Mytilus edulis: one gene and its partner. The protein of the gene in region 1 interacts with the protein of each later gene in a pairwise test. Links are inferred from orthologs where the notes say so. Each region holds a gene or a part of one and is shown on either strand. Other genes may lie near its edges.

The links.
Region 2: the proteins of peroxisomal biogenesis factor 19-like (region 1) and peroxisome assembly protein 12-like interact in a two-hybrid assay, tested with the Homo sapiens proteins (4 studies listed by BioGRID and IntAct, with this or other methods). The link is inferred for Mytilus edulis from reciprocal best matches to the Homo sapiens genes PEX19 and PEX12.

What each region holds. Positions count from the first base shown.
Region 1 is NC_092348.1:72,185,021-72,193,909, reverse strand, and holds the start of peroxisomal biogenesis factor 19-like, read left to right. Parts: upstream 1-5,147; 5' UTR 5,148-5,378; coding exon 5,379-5,508; intron 5,509-7,139; coding exon 7,140-7,219; intron 7,220-8,257; coding exon 8,258-8,426; intron 8,427-8,760; coding exon 8,761-8,846; intron 8,847-8,889. Other genes in the region: leucine-rich repeat-containing protein 58-like, read right to left, coding at 441-844, 4,525-5,000. UniProt on the Homo sapiens protein: Necessary for early peroxisomal biogenesis. Acts both as a cytosolic chaperone and as an import receptor for peroxisomal membrane proteins (PMPs).
Region 2 is NC_092349.1:85,760,243-85,769,048, reverse strand, and holds the start of peroxisome assembly protein 12-like, read right to left. Parts: upstream 3,264-8,806; 5' UTR 3,114-3,263; coding exon 2,991-3,113; intron 1,727-2,990; coding exon 1,618-1,726; intron 1,154-1,617; coding exon 1,038-1,153; intron 283-1,037; coding exon 199-282; intron 1-198. Other genes in the region: uncharacterized protein, read right to left, coding at 4,274-7,204. UniProt on the Homo sapiens protein: Component of a retrotranslocation channel required for peroxisome organization by mediating export of the PEX5 receptor from peroxisomes to the cytosol, thereby promoting PEX5 recycling.

The sequences.
Region 1 (8,889 bases):
AAGTAAAAAGATAACAATATATAATATTAAAACTTACAAGTAAATGATAATATATGTAGTTCAAGTATCAAATAATTTATATGAAAAAATTAAGTAAACACATTTCCTTGTATTAACATGTATATATATATACATGTATATATATGTTTCACATGATCTATTAAGGTTTAACTGTGGTTAGTTGCTCCCTAGAAATAATTTTAAGACTCAAAATGATTTAAATGTTGTCATACATGTATTATGGTATGGCGTCTTGTTTCTCGTCGTTGAATAATGTACATGTGTGTTGACCAATAGATGTTCATTTTGATTGTTGTGTTGCTGTTTCCTTGATATTCATCCAATATTTCTCAAATTAATTAAACGCATCACGATAATTTCTGACTTTACAGTATTATAAACAAATCCTTAAATAAAATTTTGTTGTATAAATTCTTTACCTTTGCATTCAGGATTAACACATCTCCGACAGGAATCAAGATAATTGAGTAGGTTTTTTGGCAGATCTTCCTGGTCATATTTTACTTTTTCAATCTTAACAACTCTAGCAGAAAGTTCTAGCAGAGAAGGCACTTCATAGGTTAAATCTTGAACGAATTTAACAACTAATGGATTGTTTCTTAGACTTAATTCTATTAAATTAAGTGCTACGATTTCTGAAGGAAGGGTAGATAATTTGTTGTTGTGAAGACTCAAGGACTTCAAACGATGAAGGTTGACTAAGGTAGGTGGAAGACTTTGGAGTTGGTTATCACACAGGACTAGTGATGTCAGGTTATATAGTTGTCCTATCTCGGCTGGAATGTCTGTAAGTCTGTTTCCACCCATATAAAGGATTTCTAATCTGAAAAATAAATAAATTTGAATACCAGACAATACACTGGTTGTTCAAACATTTTTCTTTCAGTTATGCAAGGCATAATTGAAAACTTTCATGTCAGAATTATACAAAATACAATGCATATTTAAACAAGAATGTGTCCCAAGTACACGGATGCCCCATCCGCACTATCATTTTCTATGTTCTGTGGACTGAAAATGGGGTAAAATCTCTAACTTGGCATTAAAATTAGAAAGATAATATTATAGGGAACATGTTTACTAAGTTTCAAGTTGATTAGACTTCATCAAAAACTACCTCAACCAAAATCTTTAACCTGTAGTGGGACAGACAGAGGCACAGACCAGAAAACATAATGCCCATAAATGGGGCATAAATATAAATTGATGTAGACGTGCTTTAATAGTTTAAGTGCATACATATATTTTGTTGTGAGGGTTGCTTTTAAAATTACAATTCACAGCACTTCTTTCCTAGTTGATAATTACACAGAATGAGACTTCTTATATTTTTTTTAACCATGTTACATTGTAACTTGCAATCCACCAATTACCATTTTTGTATGGTACTTTGTATAAAACTGTCATAGACTATCATGACTATTGTAAAGTGGTCCATTTTTAAAATTCAAAATTTGTAAGGCCAAATTCCTTGTTCTCATTAAGATTTACAGTTGTATTTTCCTGTGCCTAAATCTGATGTTCTTAAAAGATTTCAAATTTACATACTTGTAAGAGTTAGACATGTAAGAAGATTTTTCCTGATAATTTTTAAACCATGAAAATTATGCAAAAATAATTCCCTTAAAAAAAATACCTAATAATAGTATACTATTACTGTAGCTACATGTAAATGAACATGTACAACTTAATAATCTATACATACATGACATACATGCATGACATAAGCAACAAGATACATGTAAGTGTAACTAATCATGCATGACAATCATGACAATGGAAAAATGTGTTAGGGTGATCAACTGCATGTATTTATCAATCTTTATAATTTGTGTAGTCTTACAAAATTTATCTGTTCCACTTTTTCTTTTGATCATGGGAGTCATGTCATAATTATATATATATAATGTGTCTGTTGTCTTTGGGTTATTGGTTTTTTATTATTGAACTTTGAGTATCTGCTTACATGTAAGTCCCCTTTAACATGTTTAACTTAATAAGTAAGTTGTAATTTAGGATTTGTTTATTGAACATTAAATTTTTGAATTTGATTGTTTTCTTGACATGCCTGAGCCCCTGTTGTGGTCATTGAGAAAAAAAACTTAAAAATTTGTTTAGAAAGAATGAAAAATGTTATATAAGTTAAAAAAACTGGAAAAAATGGAAAGTTTTCTCTTCCACCAACATGACCAAGTTTAATTTGTTATGAGATTACACTTGTATGTTGCTTTAAGTACAGTTAGGTGGTAATTACAAAAGATATACATGTACATGTAATACAAGGTTATCTCATGATGTATAGATATAATACTCAATTGCACGTGTATCTTTACATGTACTCCTAATACAAGGTTATCTCATTTATCTCTGATAATATATATATACTCAATTGCATGTGTATCCTAGCTTACATACAGTGTATACACTCATTCACACAATATATTTTCAGCATAGAATTAAATTTCTACTTAACATGCTAAATACGATAAAGGGTGTATATCAATATCATTTTCTGAACCAGTCAGTCCAAAGATGCATTAAAATAGTATCAGCTGTGCCTGTTTATCAGCTTTTTATAGCAAAGTCAGATGAAAGTTTCAATATACATGTTCTGTAATTTTTATTCGATTTAACCCTAAATCAAGGCATTGCTATTTCATTTTTTGTATTTTCTTCTCACTGTTTAATGACTGCCCCGGCCCATTGTCAAAAATTAAGATTCCCTTAATACATTTCTAAAATGATAACTAATTGTTTTGTCATGTTATTTCATATATTTACCATGTTTACCATGTTAGGAACTCAAACAAGCCCCCAAATGCATGAAATGAGGCCATTATGAGGGACGAATCTGGTAAATGATAATCAATGTAAATAGTCTAATTTGGTCATGTTGGTATGTCACATTCGTTAATCAGATGCTCCGCAGGGCACAGCTTTATACGACCGCAGAGGTTGAACCCTGAACAGTTGGGGCAAGTATGGACACAACATTCAAGCTGGATACAGCTCTGAATTTGGATTGTGATTAAATAGTTGACACAGCATAGGTTTCTGACACAGAATAAATGTGGGTGGTCTAATGAACTTAAATTTTTTAATTTTTTTTGCTTTTGAGCAATTCACTATGCTCCTCTTAAAAAAAAAATATTTGAAGAAATTTTCTTTTTAATTTCTGAAATCTGAAATGAAAAATTGACCCCCCCCCCCCCAATTTTTTTTCACCTCCCCCTTTCCCTTACTCCAAAAATGATCTCAATTCAAATTTGCTAATGGAGTTTGCAACAATACATGTAACTACTCATTTAAATGCATCATAAAGTATTAAAATATAAAATGTCATACAGTCATGGTTAAAATTAATATTAATTAATAATAACTTATATAAAAATAAATGGGGAATGTGTCCAAAGGGACACAGATGATGCCCCAGCTAGCATATAATGTTATAAAGGGACATAACTCAAGAACTGTAAAAGTGAAGCTGCCAAAAATTGAACTTATTTAAAACTGAGTTTAGAGGTACATGTAATAAGCATTATATACACATTTCATTAAATTTAGTTGAGACAAACTTATGTTAAGAGAACAGAAACGAAAAAAATCTTCAATTTTTCCATTTGTAAAGGGGCATAACCCTAGAATGGTAATCAAAGTGCTTGTAATCACTGAATGGTAAAGATTACTTTAATATATCAGTTGGTAGTAAAAGTGAATATTGCATTGTATATTGTATAATATAGCATTGATTTAATTTGATTCAACTATTATTCTGGACAAAGAAAGATAAATCCAATTTTCAAAGAAGATTTCATAAAGCATTGGTTTTAGGTAATTCAACAATCATTCTGGACAAAGAAAGATAACTCCAATTTATTGTCTTGAAACTACAAAAATGCTTGTTTTTGGCACTTTATTCCTAGACTGTTTGCCCTGTAACCCTTTAAATATATCCCAACCTTCTACTTACAGTATTAAACATTGTGGTATAATTTCAGAACAATTGAAATACTTCTACTTGTACACAACTTATTGTCCTGACACTAGATAAATGCTTGTTTTGGGCCCCTAATTCCTAAACCTTTGGGACCATAACCCCCAAAATCAATTCCAAACTTCCTTTAGTGGTTATAAACATTACTCATTTATGTTAAAATTTTATTGATTTCTATTTACGTATACTAAAGTTATTATCCGGAAACCATCCGTCTTCGGACGACGCCGAGGACGTGATACCAATATACGACCGCAAAAATTTTTGCGGTCGTATAAAAAGGATCGGATAGTCATATTACAATGAGGGGTCAATTATTCCTCATTTGAGGGGTTGTTCCCAATCTGTTTACCATGTTTACCCCAGGTCTGCTTCATTCATGATCCACATCGACACTTTCAATTACAGAATATTGTACTTTAAACATCAATCTTTAAAACTCAACGTGTTAAAAAAAGCACACAAAGTACTATAATGACTATAAAGTATACTCGTTAATTTGTTTTTACCTAGACATATGCCTAATCAACGATGTAATTGATGAGATGGCATTGCCACCTAAGTATAATGCTTTCAATCGAGGTAGTTCAGTAAACTGTGGAGGTAACTCTGTAAATGAATTGGCAGAAAAGTTCAGCACCTCTAGAGATCGTAGTTTACTAAAATCCTTTGGTATAGTTTTACATTCTAAGTTGTTGTTCTTGGCTATCAAAGTTCTTAATTGTTTTAAATAAACCACAGCATCATCTAGTTTGTGACAGTTGTTGTTACTTATATCCAAAGTGATCAGGTTAGCAAACACATTTATAGACTTAGGTAACACTTCTATATTGTTATGGTGTAGGCATAATGCTCTGATCGACTTCGAACGATCGAATAAATATTCTGGTATGGCTGTTAGGTCACCATATGACAAATCCTCAGCTCCATCACTTAAATATTCATTCTCAGAACAAGAAGTTGTTTCAGACAAATATTCAGCCATTTAATCAATTATGATCTTTAGTCATGAAATATATTCCATATTCTGTATCTCTCTTTACTGTAAGTGGCAACGCACATGACACGAAAGTGACGAGTGATGTTTGTTCTAAATTGTGTCACCTGGTACAGGCTATTATTCAATGGTTCAACATTTAGGAAAATAACAGAGGTGAAGGTCGTTATAAGCTTTGTCCATTTCAAGACCGATTCCTCCTTTGAGTTTATAGATTATTGTTTAAAAAAATAAAGACTTATTTGAAATTAGGTTATTACTCGAATTTTGAAAGAAACACATTTAGGGGAAAATAAATGAAATATTTTTTTACGATAACGTAAGGGATATTTATTTTTTACAAGTACATCAGGGGGAAAAGGCGTGATGGAGGGTGATGAGAGTAAACATTCGAAAGAAGCTATTGAAGAGACCAGTTTAACCAATACAAAGAAAGAAATCAAACAGAATATACAAACCGATAAGCAGGATGAAGAATTAGATTCATTGTTAGACAGTATGAGTCATCGATTAACAGAAATTATACCAATACACAAGATATTTTTATTGAGCTAATCAAGACTGGTGCAAGAGGGTGGATATATTTGTGTACCCCACATGATTATTAACGATAACATTTTATTTAATATAGAGTTAACACTACATAGTAAATTCCATTTATAGCTAACATCACTCTAAATATTTAAAACAATAATCAGGAATGATGATAATAGTTTAAGGCTCGGAGATCATTCTGTATACCTTATCGCTATTTGTCGCCATTACTGGATATCACACATGTTCCCATGGAATTTTGACATCATAAAACAAAATATCTGACGCCACAATGGAAAAGTGATTGTTGTATTCGTCAAAAGTTCAAGCGGCCGGGATAAGCGATAAGGTGTATTAACCTTGCTAATTGTATCATGTGCATGAGGGTGGTAATAGGGGTCCTTTCATGACGATTAATGGTAAAAATTCTTGTCAGTAATGTTTGGCGCAAGATGATAAAATTTAAAACACTTTCCTTTAGACAGTAAAAAAATAACGGCTGATTTTGTCAAATCACGCTAATTTTTGTCCTAAAATGATGGTAAAGATAATTATTCGAAACCTTTTTCAAATCACGATAAGAAGATTTTAACAAATCACTGAAATTTTAACCAATTTGACTCGAACGGTAGCTTAAAATAACAGTTTAACGTCTGACGGTAAAGGGCATTCCTACCCTTGTATATATTATAGTATATTGAAAAGAAGGTGTTTAATGATCTCTATTGCTTGGTTATGAAGACCACGCCTAACCTCCATTAAGGGACCAGTAATTTTAATGAACAGAATAATTATTATTACCTTAATCAAAAGATTAAACTTGTTTAACACAACAAAAAATGGTTATCACAGTTATTAAATTTACTAATCAACAGTAATTGATTTGATGTCATTCCATTCCTATACCAAACTCAAGTTGTTTTTTATAGATGAGTTAAACAGGTAGACCCAAGGTAAAAGGTTGTTAACAAAGTCATTGAACATTTATTATGGGTTCTTACTGTGATGTATGAAATTGACAAAAAAGTGCACGATTCCGAAAATGGTTTTTGCCAATATGTGTTCTGTCCTTGGTTGTTCCAGGTACAAATCAATAGTTCTGTTCCAATATCATTTGTTCTGTGAAACAGGTTTATCCATTCAAATAACTTATTTGTACAAAATAATTATGACAACATTACATTTAAAATATAGATAATTACATTGTATGACATTATTATAATTGAAATTGTTTTGTAAAAGATAACATTATATACAGTTATAGTATAGTTATTATTTTTTCTTTTGAAGAATTCTTTTATTCATAAATAGGATTTTGCATTGTTTTCATACATGTCAAAGAATTTTCAACCTTTTCATTTGAAGTTGAATTCAATTATTACAACAACAAATATACAGTAATGCTAATTTTCTTCAACATATATTAATACAATGTACATGTATAAGAATACATGTATGTTATAGCCTACATTTTGAATTTTTGTTATCTACAAGTTTGCATTCTGTTGAAATATATTTTTTGTATAATAATTAATTTTATTTATAAATAGTGTATCCTATTCATTTTTAAATCAATCTTTAATTTTTTTTTAGGTGCTTTGAAAGATTTTGATGAAGTAAAGCCGAAAACAGCAACAAAAGAGGATCAGAGTAGTGCCAAGAATAATGATTCGGTAAGCTAAAAAACAGCTTTTTGTTATGTTATATCATTTGTATATATGTACCGGTAAAGTAAATGTACATGATATGCATGTTTTCTTTAGACTTGCTGACATCTCTTTCATGTCTATGCTGCAAATTTATGTCTTATCATAATCGACATTGTATGCCCACCATCGTATGCATCATTGAATGCACACCATCAATATTTGTGCATTGTATGCCCACCATCAATATCTGTACATTGTATGCCCACCATCAATATCTACACTGTATACCCACCATCAATATCTGTACATTGTATGCCCACCATCAATATCTACACTGTATACCCACCATCAATATCTGTACATTGTATGCCCACCATCAATATCTGTACATTGTATGCCCACCATCAATATCTACACTGTATACCCACAATCAATATCTGTGCATTGAATGCCAGCCATCAATATCTGTACATTGTATGCCCACCATCAATATCTGTACATTGTATGCCCACCATCAATATCTACATTTTATGCCCACCATCAATATCTGTACATTGTATGCCAACCATCAATATCTGTACATTGTATGCCCACCATCAATATCTGTACATTGTATGCCCACCATCAATATCTATACATTGTATGCCCACCATCAATATCTGTACATTGTATGCCAACCATCATTCAATATCTGTACATTGTATGCCCACCATCAATATCTGTACATTGAATGCCAGCCATCAATATCTATACATTGTATGCCCACCATCAATATCTATTCATTGTATGCCCATCAATATCTATTCATTGTATGCCCACCATTAATATCTGTACATTGTATGTCCAACAACAATACCTTTACATAATATGTCAAAGTCAATGAATTTGAAAGTGTACAGACATACAATACTTGCCTGTATTTCATGAATAATATACATGTAGGTCAAATGATCATGATGATAAATACACACACTATTTTGTTTTTTAGAAATCAAAAGTAAAAAGTTATGGGCTCAATAAATTGATATCTTTATACCATTTTGAAATAATCATGTGTTTCAGGCATCACAGAAATCAGAAGCATCAGGGGATCCTTTGTCGGACATGTTTGCTGATGAGTTCTCAGACGATATGGCAAAACAATTTGAAGAGGCCATGAAAAGTATGGTTGGTGAAGATCCTGAATTAGTTTCACAAATAGAAAAACTAGCAGCTGCTGCTGGCAGTGCAGGTATTGATTTATTATGTAAATTATAGTGACAAGTCTATTATTTAGACAACAAGGAGGGTGGGAAGGTGATAATGAAAAGACTGTATATGTTTTATACATATTTTAATGATTTGAGTTTTCCAATATCATATTAAGATGCTAACAAATTAAAAAAAAAAAAAAATAATCGAATTCAAGTTTAGTTTTGAATGTTTTCATTTTATCCCCCTGTTGACCCCTATAATAGTTATTATAACATTGGACCATATTTAATGTTTGTTGATTTTACTAAATTATATTTTAAGAAAAGGTATAAATGCATTATTTACAATGTTAAAATTATTAATTTTGTTAGGTGATTCACAAGAAGCACAGCAAGAATTTGCTAAAAATTTGGCACAAACTATGTCTAGTCTTGACGAGAATTCAGAAGAATTACAGGTATGTCGAAAATACTCTGATTAATTATAGACTATCTATAGTT
Region 2 (8,806 bases), on another chromosome or scaffold:
ATACCTAGCTGTATAATCATCCTGTATTAACCTCATGATCTTTGCTACCTCTTGTCTTTTACAGTATGAATGCCTTAATGTTATACCAGATTGTAATTTACTAATGTTATTTTTGTAGTTTTTAAAAAAAGGATAGCAAAATTCTCATTCAAGCAGGTTTTATGTGAACTATATAATATTAAACAATTACATATTTACCTGACTGAGTCTTCCTGTGTTTATTTTGTGTCTCAATTCTTCAAAAATGAAGTCCAACTTATGTTTTATATATGGCAAAATGACCTACAAAGAGTGAGTTATTATTGCAATATTTTCATTAAAATACTGATACTTGTATATCTTATATCTAACTTGTCAAAAAATAATAACAATTCAAAAAGAGAAAAAAAATCATGCAGACCTTACTCATCTAAGTACACAAAGTTTAATTAATTTTGTTCATGTGGTGGAATGTAGTCTAAAGCAACTTGTTTTCCTAAAAGGTAGTGGTTAAAAGCCAAGTCAAGATATATGTGTTATGTTGTGGCAAGAGCAGCTACTATTCATACTGTTTCCATCACAAAACATTGTCTGCTATTCTTGACTCAGAACTGCCTTTTTTTATTATAGAGTTATCTCCCATTTTCAAAATAAATACTGGACTGATATCCAAATACAAAAAGATCAATTGATTCTTATTCATTTCATAAGGCTTTTTACTGGAAGGCAGAAACATATTTGTATTGTTCTCAATAGTTTCTGATATTAAAGCAATATCATGCCTACATGAACAAAGAATTCTGTGGGTACATAATCATGATAATGATTTTCAGGTAATTTCATCTTACATGAGATTAACTTGACTTCATGCACCATATGACAAAAAGCTCACATTTAAGCAATGTATTATAAATTATCATTATCTAATGCTTACTATCCAAAATTTTACACAAAGCCATTAGACAGAATTCTTTGTACACTTAAAACCATGACATCTTTACTTTAAATGACAGTTAACAAAAACATATTTCCTATTTTAACTGTCAACAAAATCTTACCAAGCATAAGATAGATTTAATTAGACAACGTTTTGAAAGTTTTGTATCTTCCTGTTTTTGATCCTTCTGACAATCAACTCTTTTAATACCATAAAAGTTTTCAGCAAAAGATCCACCTGAAATAGAATTAGAAGACACAATCATATGTGGGTTATAGGGTTATAGCTGTTAAAGCGAATGAATATAAAATTCTATGGTCAACTCTATGTTTAATAAAAAGTAAAGTAGTTTTACGTTAATTTAAATGTTTCAAGACTTGTGAACATGATGGCTGAAATGAAAGTTAGTCTCAGTGCAGGTTTTGTTGGTGTTATGGATATATATACTTTACCATATATTTGCAGTAGCTTTCATTTAAAAGTATACAGTTAATATATATATATATATGAAATTATGTGTTATTTTGGCAGAATTTTTATAACATATATATAATTGAATTCATTTTTTAAGTTCAGACTTGACTGTGTCATCTAATTAAGTATGGATATATGGGTTTAGTTTAGGAAAACAAAATTCTCATATTTTTTTTACATCAATTATTGTGCCACTTATCCAAAAATAAAGTAATTATTTGACTTACTGTATGAACGTAAATAATAATTCTGTAGAATTAGATCAAGTATTGTGTATATTTCATCGTAAAATCTCAGCATCCATGCAAATTTATCTGGCTTTGTCTCTGCTAAAACCTAAAAAGACAAATATATATGAATAATAAGTAAATGAAACTTTGTCTATTCTTTGACAGGATACATAATTTCATTATTATATATACAGTATAAAGAAAACATGTTCTCAAGGGGGACATGAATAACTATGAAATAATTTCAAGACATGATCAAAGCATAAGACAGATACTTCATTAAAAACATAAATATTGTCAGTGGAAAGAATTTCACAGGGCGCAATTGAGCATTAAAAATAAATTTGTTAAAAATTATTGTTACAGTATTGATTAACATTTTATTGATTGCTAAATTAACTAAGTATATATGTCAGCTTCCCTCATGATTATTTCAGCATGCAGCGGTAATGTACAGTGTTTTGGGCTGAATCAGACTGTGAAATTGCAAAAACACAAAAAAAATGTCTTTTAGGGGCAATAACTTCCTCCACGAGTCTATCAGATCTGGATATAAAAAATGTGTATGCTTATATTGCTTTTATTGTTGGATTAAATTCTTAAAAACATATAAAAATATGAAGTGGAATGATTGTTAATGAGACAATAATCCATCGGAAACCAAATGTAGCCTTCATGGCCTTAAACCATGTCAAAATATTTAAATTTTGAATTTATTTTTAGTTAGAATTGATGGTACATGTAGATATTCAATTTGATTTTGGAACCTAAACCATACAATCATGACAATTGTGATGCTTAACTTCCGTTAAGTTTATTTATTTCATTTATACAAATTAGTTTTGTTTAATTCAACTGAGGGAAAGAATTGACATAGTTTTTTTTCAGAAAAAAGGAGACGACAATTCTTAAACTTGATTAACTACAGATTTTGAATCTCAATAGGTGTAATCAGAGTCTTGAGAGCATGATTCTTGCGAGAAAAAACATTTTTAATTCTCAAGTAATGTTAACAGACGACTTAAAGGAATTGCTTCTTTTACACATATATTGTAGATACTTTAAGTCGTTCGTTAACAGTACTGGAGAATACAGAATTAGCTCTCAAGACTCTAATTGCACCTATACACCTTATCACTATTTGTCGGTCATTTCTGGATATCACACAGGTTCCCTATAAATTTTGACTTCGTAAAACAAAATATCTCACGCCACAATGGAAAAGTGATTGTGTATGACGTCAAAAGTTCAAGCGGCCAGGTCAGCCGGGATAAGTGATAAGGTGTACATGTATTGAGATTCAAAATCTGTAGTTAAGCTAAGAGTATCATTCAATTAAACCCAATGTGAAAATCTATACTATTCCTTGCCTTTATGGCATGTTTAAGAGCAGGTCTTATTGTGCTCATAAGACTGTCCTGGGCAAGAACTTCAAAAATAGACGGTTTTGAAGTGAATATAGCAGATGTCAAGTGCGTTGCACTTTCGGCCATTGTTTTTCAGGGATCTATTAACTTAAATAAGTATTTGTATTTTAAGCTCCCTTTTTTTTTCAATAAATATCAAGAAACTTTAAGCAAATTTGTAGTTTGTTTTGTATGGAGCATGGACTTTGAGAAAGGTCATGGTCATAAATAGCTTTTAGGTTATTAGAGTCTAGCCAGATTATTTCTGTTTAGAGTCTTTAGAAGTATAACTAAATACACAAAAATAAAATCAATAACAACAACGCACAACAATGAACTTAATTAAAAATGATCCAAAAGGTCAAAATGCTCACATGAAAAAAAAACATACCTAAAAATTAACTTTAAAAATTTGTGTACATATGTTTTGTATTTTTCGTTGATATTATTCTTTAAAATTCAATATATTATGTTTTCATTTATAACGTTTGAGTGCGTTGTATTTTAAAATCTTTCCAATTAATTAGTCGTATTTCATAAAGTGCTCTTAAAGAACAATCTCATGTTATCTTGCTGCTCTCAGTCTTCCACTGTCACTTCCGGCTTGTCATCAACATAAATATATTTGGCAGGTAAAATGCTCAAAATATGTTATAATTTCACTTAAGATCCATAAATATATCATTGTTTGATGAGATATTTGTTAAACTTTAATATGTGAACACCAATTTCATTACAAAGTGATAGTGGAATTGAAAAAAATGAATTAAATACATTGGGAATAGACCATGACACACCCCCAAAGCCGGCAAAGGCCAAATCCATTAGAAATCGTAAAAATGAGAGAAATATGGATACAGATATTACTTATTATGATTCAATACCTCTGTGTTCTTTTTGAATTAAACATTTATAGTGTCTAATAATTCGTAATATGAGGCAGGCATTACCTGTGAATGGGGACGAAGTCTGTATGGTTATTTTTTTTAAATCAAACATGTTAAAAAGAGAAACAGAAATACCGTAACGTTTCCGATTTTGGTTCTGTAGTTAGGGATTTTAAGTGTGATGTTATTTAATTTATGACGTCATATTCAATGTAAACAAAGAAACGCTGTCATCAGGTAACGTTCCTGATCCTGATCCTAAGGTCAATAATTGACACTACTGTTCTCTGTGTGCTATCTTCCTCCTCTTATGGTACACCGTTGCTCGAGGTAATATCTCGCGGTACTTTGGTATACTTGTTAGGCGCAGGATCGGGAATCAGGGATTGCAAGTTCTTGGAATCTCCCTGATTTTGTAATATATTCCCCTACAATTTGCGATGTTGCTTCGTAGGTTTCTCTTTTTGGTGGTGCTAGTATTGACTGTATATTTGTTGGATCGATGTTAAGTAGTTCCATTTGTCTTCGCATGTCCTCTCTTTCTTGTTGGTATCTTGGGCAGTATAGCAGGAAGTGTTCTGATGTTTCTTCTTCTCCGCATTCACAATATGGCGTGAGGGATTGACCGATTTGGTTTCTGTATTTGTTAAGTCTGCTGTAGCCCGTTCTTATTTCTGACAATATTCTTCCTATTTGGTTGTTAGGCTTGTCTAGTTGTGCGTCCTTACCAACGATAGGAATTAGGTTGAAAAGCTGTCTTCCAGTTTCACTAATTGTCCATCTGCTTTGCCATTTGAGTTTTGTAGACATCTTGACTGCACATCTTACATCTGACATGGTTATGACATTATACTGATCATTTAGTGATGAGGCCTCTTTTGCAGCGTCTTTTGCCAACTGGTCCGCTATCTCGTTCCCGGCTATATTAGCATGGCCTGGGATCCAAGATAGGGTTGTTAGTATGCCGTGTCTTAAGAACGTTCCCATGCATTCTTTGATATCAGTAATTGTGTCGATGTAGTTAGAAGATTTCCAGTTCAGAGTCAAGATGCCTACAGCAGTCTGGCTATCTGACAGTATTTTAAGCTCAGAAAACTGGTCCTTTATAGTCGTTATACAGTGCTCCAGGACCATTAGTATGGCTACTAGTTCAGCAAGAAGTATCGATCCTCTATTAGCTACTGGCCTCTTTAGACTTATGCCTTGGCTATTTCCAGAATATACTACTGCTCCTGCCCCACATGGTCCCGGGTTACCTTGACATGAACCATCAGTGAATGCCACTACTGTTGAGTCTGTGCTGTCTCCTAATAGGTCCTTTACAACCTGTTTACTTTCAACAGTTTGTTCGGCTGTTCTGTTCTTTGAGCTACCTAGACGACTCCAATAACTTGGTGATCTCCTTAGCATGACATCTACACCAGCTTTGTATGTGAATTCTGGTTCTATAAGTTTGATGTCAACTTTCGTGGCTTTGAACATGTCTATGGATTGGTTTATAGCTTTACCAAATGGAGAATCCTGTTGTTCATAGGTTGCGTTGTTTGTTAAATACTGTTCTAGTTGTTGTTTAATTGGTTCTGCTATGTTCTTTGATTGTATTTTTGCCAGTTCACGTACTGATATTTCCTCTATTCTGAGGTCTATGGGTTGTATATTGGCTTCAACTTCCATTGCCTCTCTACCTGATGTTCCTGGTAGTCCTAGGCATATTGACAAGCCTTTTCTTTGTACAGCTTCTAATTTCTTCATATTCTCTGCAGATGTTATTTGCCAGACTGGGCATGCATACTCCATGATAGATCTAACCATGCTGTTGTATATTTGGAGTAGTTTTGATCTTGATATTCCTCCCATGCCCTTAATATCTCTAATTACATATATTGCATTATTTGCCCTCTTCTGCATCAGATTGATGTGGGTGTCAAATTTAAGCTTCTCGTCTAGAGTTACTCCAAGTAGCTTCGGTGTTGGACTATATCTATAGGAGAAGGAGTTGACTTTTAATGTTTTCTGCTCTGCATCTGTGTTGCCTTTTGAGAATAGGCATACTTCACACTTTTCCAGGTTTACATTAATTCTCCATTTTTCTGTCCATTTTAAAATAGTTTTGACATCCTCTGAAGTTCTTTCTTTCATTTCCTTTATGTCTTTCCCCTTATGCCATAGAGTGCCATCATCTGCAAACTTGCAATTTTCTCCTTTTGTGTTATCCATTATATCAGCTATGAATATGTTAAACAAGGTGGGTGATAGTACTGACCCTTGTGGCAAGCCGATTTTGGTATCAAATTGTTCTCCAAAGAAGTTATTCAGCATACATCTGGCTGTTCGATTTGTGAGAAAGCTGTTTATCCATAACCAGGTTTTTCCCTTTATCCCAAGTTTATGCAGCTTGATCATTAACCCCTCACGCCATATTGAGTCATATGCCTTTTCAAGGTCCACTAGCCATGCAAGAGTTGATTCATCCTCATTGTAACCATCAGCTATTGTTTGGACTAACCGAAGTAGAGCATTGGTGGTTGAGTGATTCTTTCTGAACCCTTCTTGAGTTAAATCAATCAATCTGTGACCCTCAATATATGCCACAATGCGTTCTAGGATGACTCTCTCCATTAGTTTGCATATAATGCAAGTTAGGCTGATTGGTCTGTAAGAAGAGGATGAGTAATAGCTGGTTTTTCCTGGTTTTCTTAGAAATTTTACATCTGCCATTTTCCATTCTGTTGGTAATTCCCCTTTTTGCCATATGATGTTCATCATTGTTACTAAGGCTTCTGTAAATTTGTCACCTGCATGCTTATAGAATTCAGCAAACTGCTGATCTGGTCCTGGGGCAGTCCCCGTGCGAAGGCGGTATATAGCTGCTTCTACCTCGTCTTTGTCTATTTCTCTATCAAAGCCTTCTCTATGTTGATCTGTTTCATTTGTTGCCTGATACATGTTATTTAGTTCTTTGTATTCTTTGTTGATACTATCATAAAATTCTTTATCAAATGACTCATCCTTTAGGTGGCTACCTCCAAAGAAAATTTTTTGTAGAAGTTCAACTTTACTTTTGTTGTCAAATATTGGATCTTTATTTTCAACAATTAATGGGAGTACTGAGTTATCTTCTGTTTTCCTGGACATCTTTTTGTACGTGTTCCAGAAGTCTTTTGAGTTTTTAGCCTGATTTAGTTGGTTTACGAGGTTATTACTCCATTCTTCTTGTGCATCTTCCTTTGCCTTGTCAAAGTTGTATTCTGCAATGATGAGTCTTTGTTTGTTTTGTGGAATGTTCCTCATTCTGTATTGTTTCTGGCAGTGATTTAGGTGTTTTTTGGCAGATGTTACTGAGCTACTCCACCAGCATGGCTTTTGGTGTTTTCTTGGTTTAATTTCTTTATATGGGATCATTTCTTTTTGTGTTGCATTTATGATGTCAGCAAATGACTGGTAAATATGGTCAATTCTGCGCAGATCCAGAAATTCAAAAATGCGACAAAAAAAATTTTAAACAATTTTGAGTTCATTAGTACAATGAAAAATTAGGGAAATTTTCTGGATTTTTTTTTTTTTTTTTTTTTTTATTGAATTTTCTACTGTTATCATGGTAATAGGGGACTTCGTCCCCATATTATTGGTACAATGTACAGATAGATATAGGAAGATGTGGTGTGAGTGCCAATGAGACAACTCTCCATACAAATAACAATTTAAAAAGTAAACCATTATAGGTTAAAGTACGGCCTTCAACACGGAGCCTTAGCTCACACCGAACAACAAGCTATAAAGGGCCCCAAAATTACTAGTGTAAAACCATTCAAACGGGAAAACCAACGGTCTAATCTATATAAACAAAACGAGAAACGAGAAACACGTATATATTACATAAACAAACGACAACTACTGTACATCAGATTCCTGACTTAGGACAGGTGCAAACATTTGCAGCGGGATTAAACGTTTTAATGGATCCAAACCTTCTCCCTTTTTCTGAAAAGATGTACATCTCACAGCTCCAACTTACATTACTCTTTATTTATTCACCCAGTGATTGGGAAGGACGTGCGCCAATTGCGTTTTTCAACCAAAAAAGGTGCATAGAATGACAAATGTAAGCACCCACATGGCGCCATTATTTTGCACACTGTTTTGAAAAGTTTAGATATCATCACATGATCATAAAATGGATTTCAGATTGTGTTTCGTGTCGCCATGTGTATGTTCAAAACAGTGTAGTGTTCCCGACAATGATACAAGCACTGCCTATATATTTTTGAGACGTCTCAGGCGTTTTCTATGGTAATAACAGCAGCATGCAGTATATTTGCAGTCTTCACGCTGAACTGCTAAATCTACAGGCCCGCAGCTCAATTTTTGAAATTTTTTAGTTAGATTCTGTTGGCCTGTAGGTCTGATTTTTACAGGCCCGAGAGCAATTTTACCAGCCTGGGCTGCCTGGGCTGCCACTCGTCGTGAAGACTGTATTTGATACCCAAAAAATGTAATTAACCATCATTCATGATATAATTTTTTTTAAACAACTTTAAATTTGTGAAATTTGAATTTTTTGGTCTTTGGCTCATTTGAATACTCGTTTGAATATTTTGTAAACATGCCTTCAGCGAATTGTTGATTAACATTACTCTCTACTGTTATTCTTGTCCATGAAAAGAAGTAATAATGATATAAGAAGTGCAAACGTCCTTTAATACGGAACGTCTCAAATATAGTATGGCAATTGACGAAGACCCAAATTTAATGTAAAGTATAAACGTGAACATGAACATGGCAACAGTACCAGTTTTAACATTGTAAATAAAGGTTATCATAAATGATTTGCCCTGTTTGGAAGAAGTTATGCATTGGAATTCAGTGGTCTCGTTAGCCCAAAATAGAAGGGCG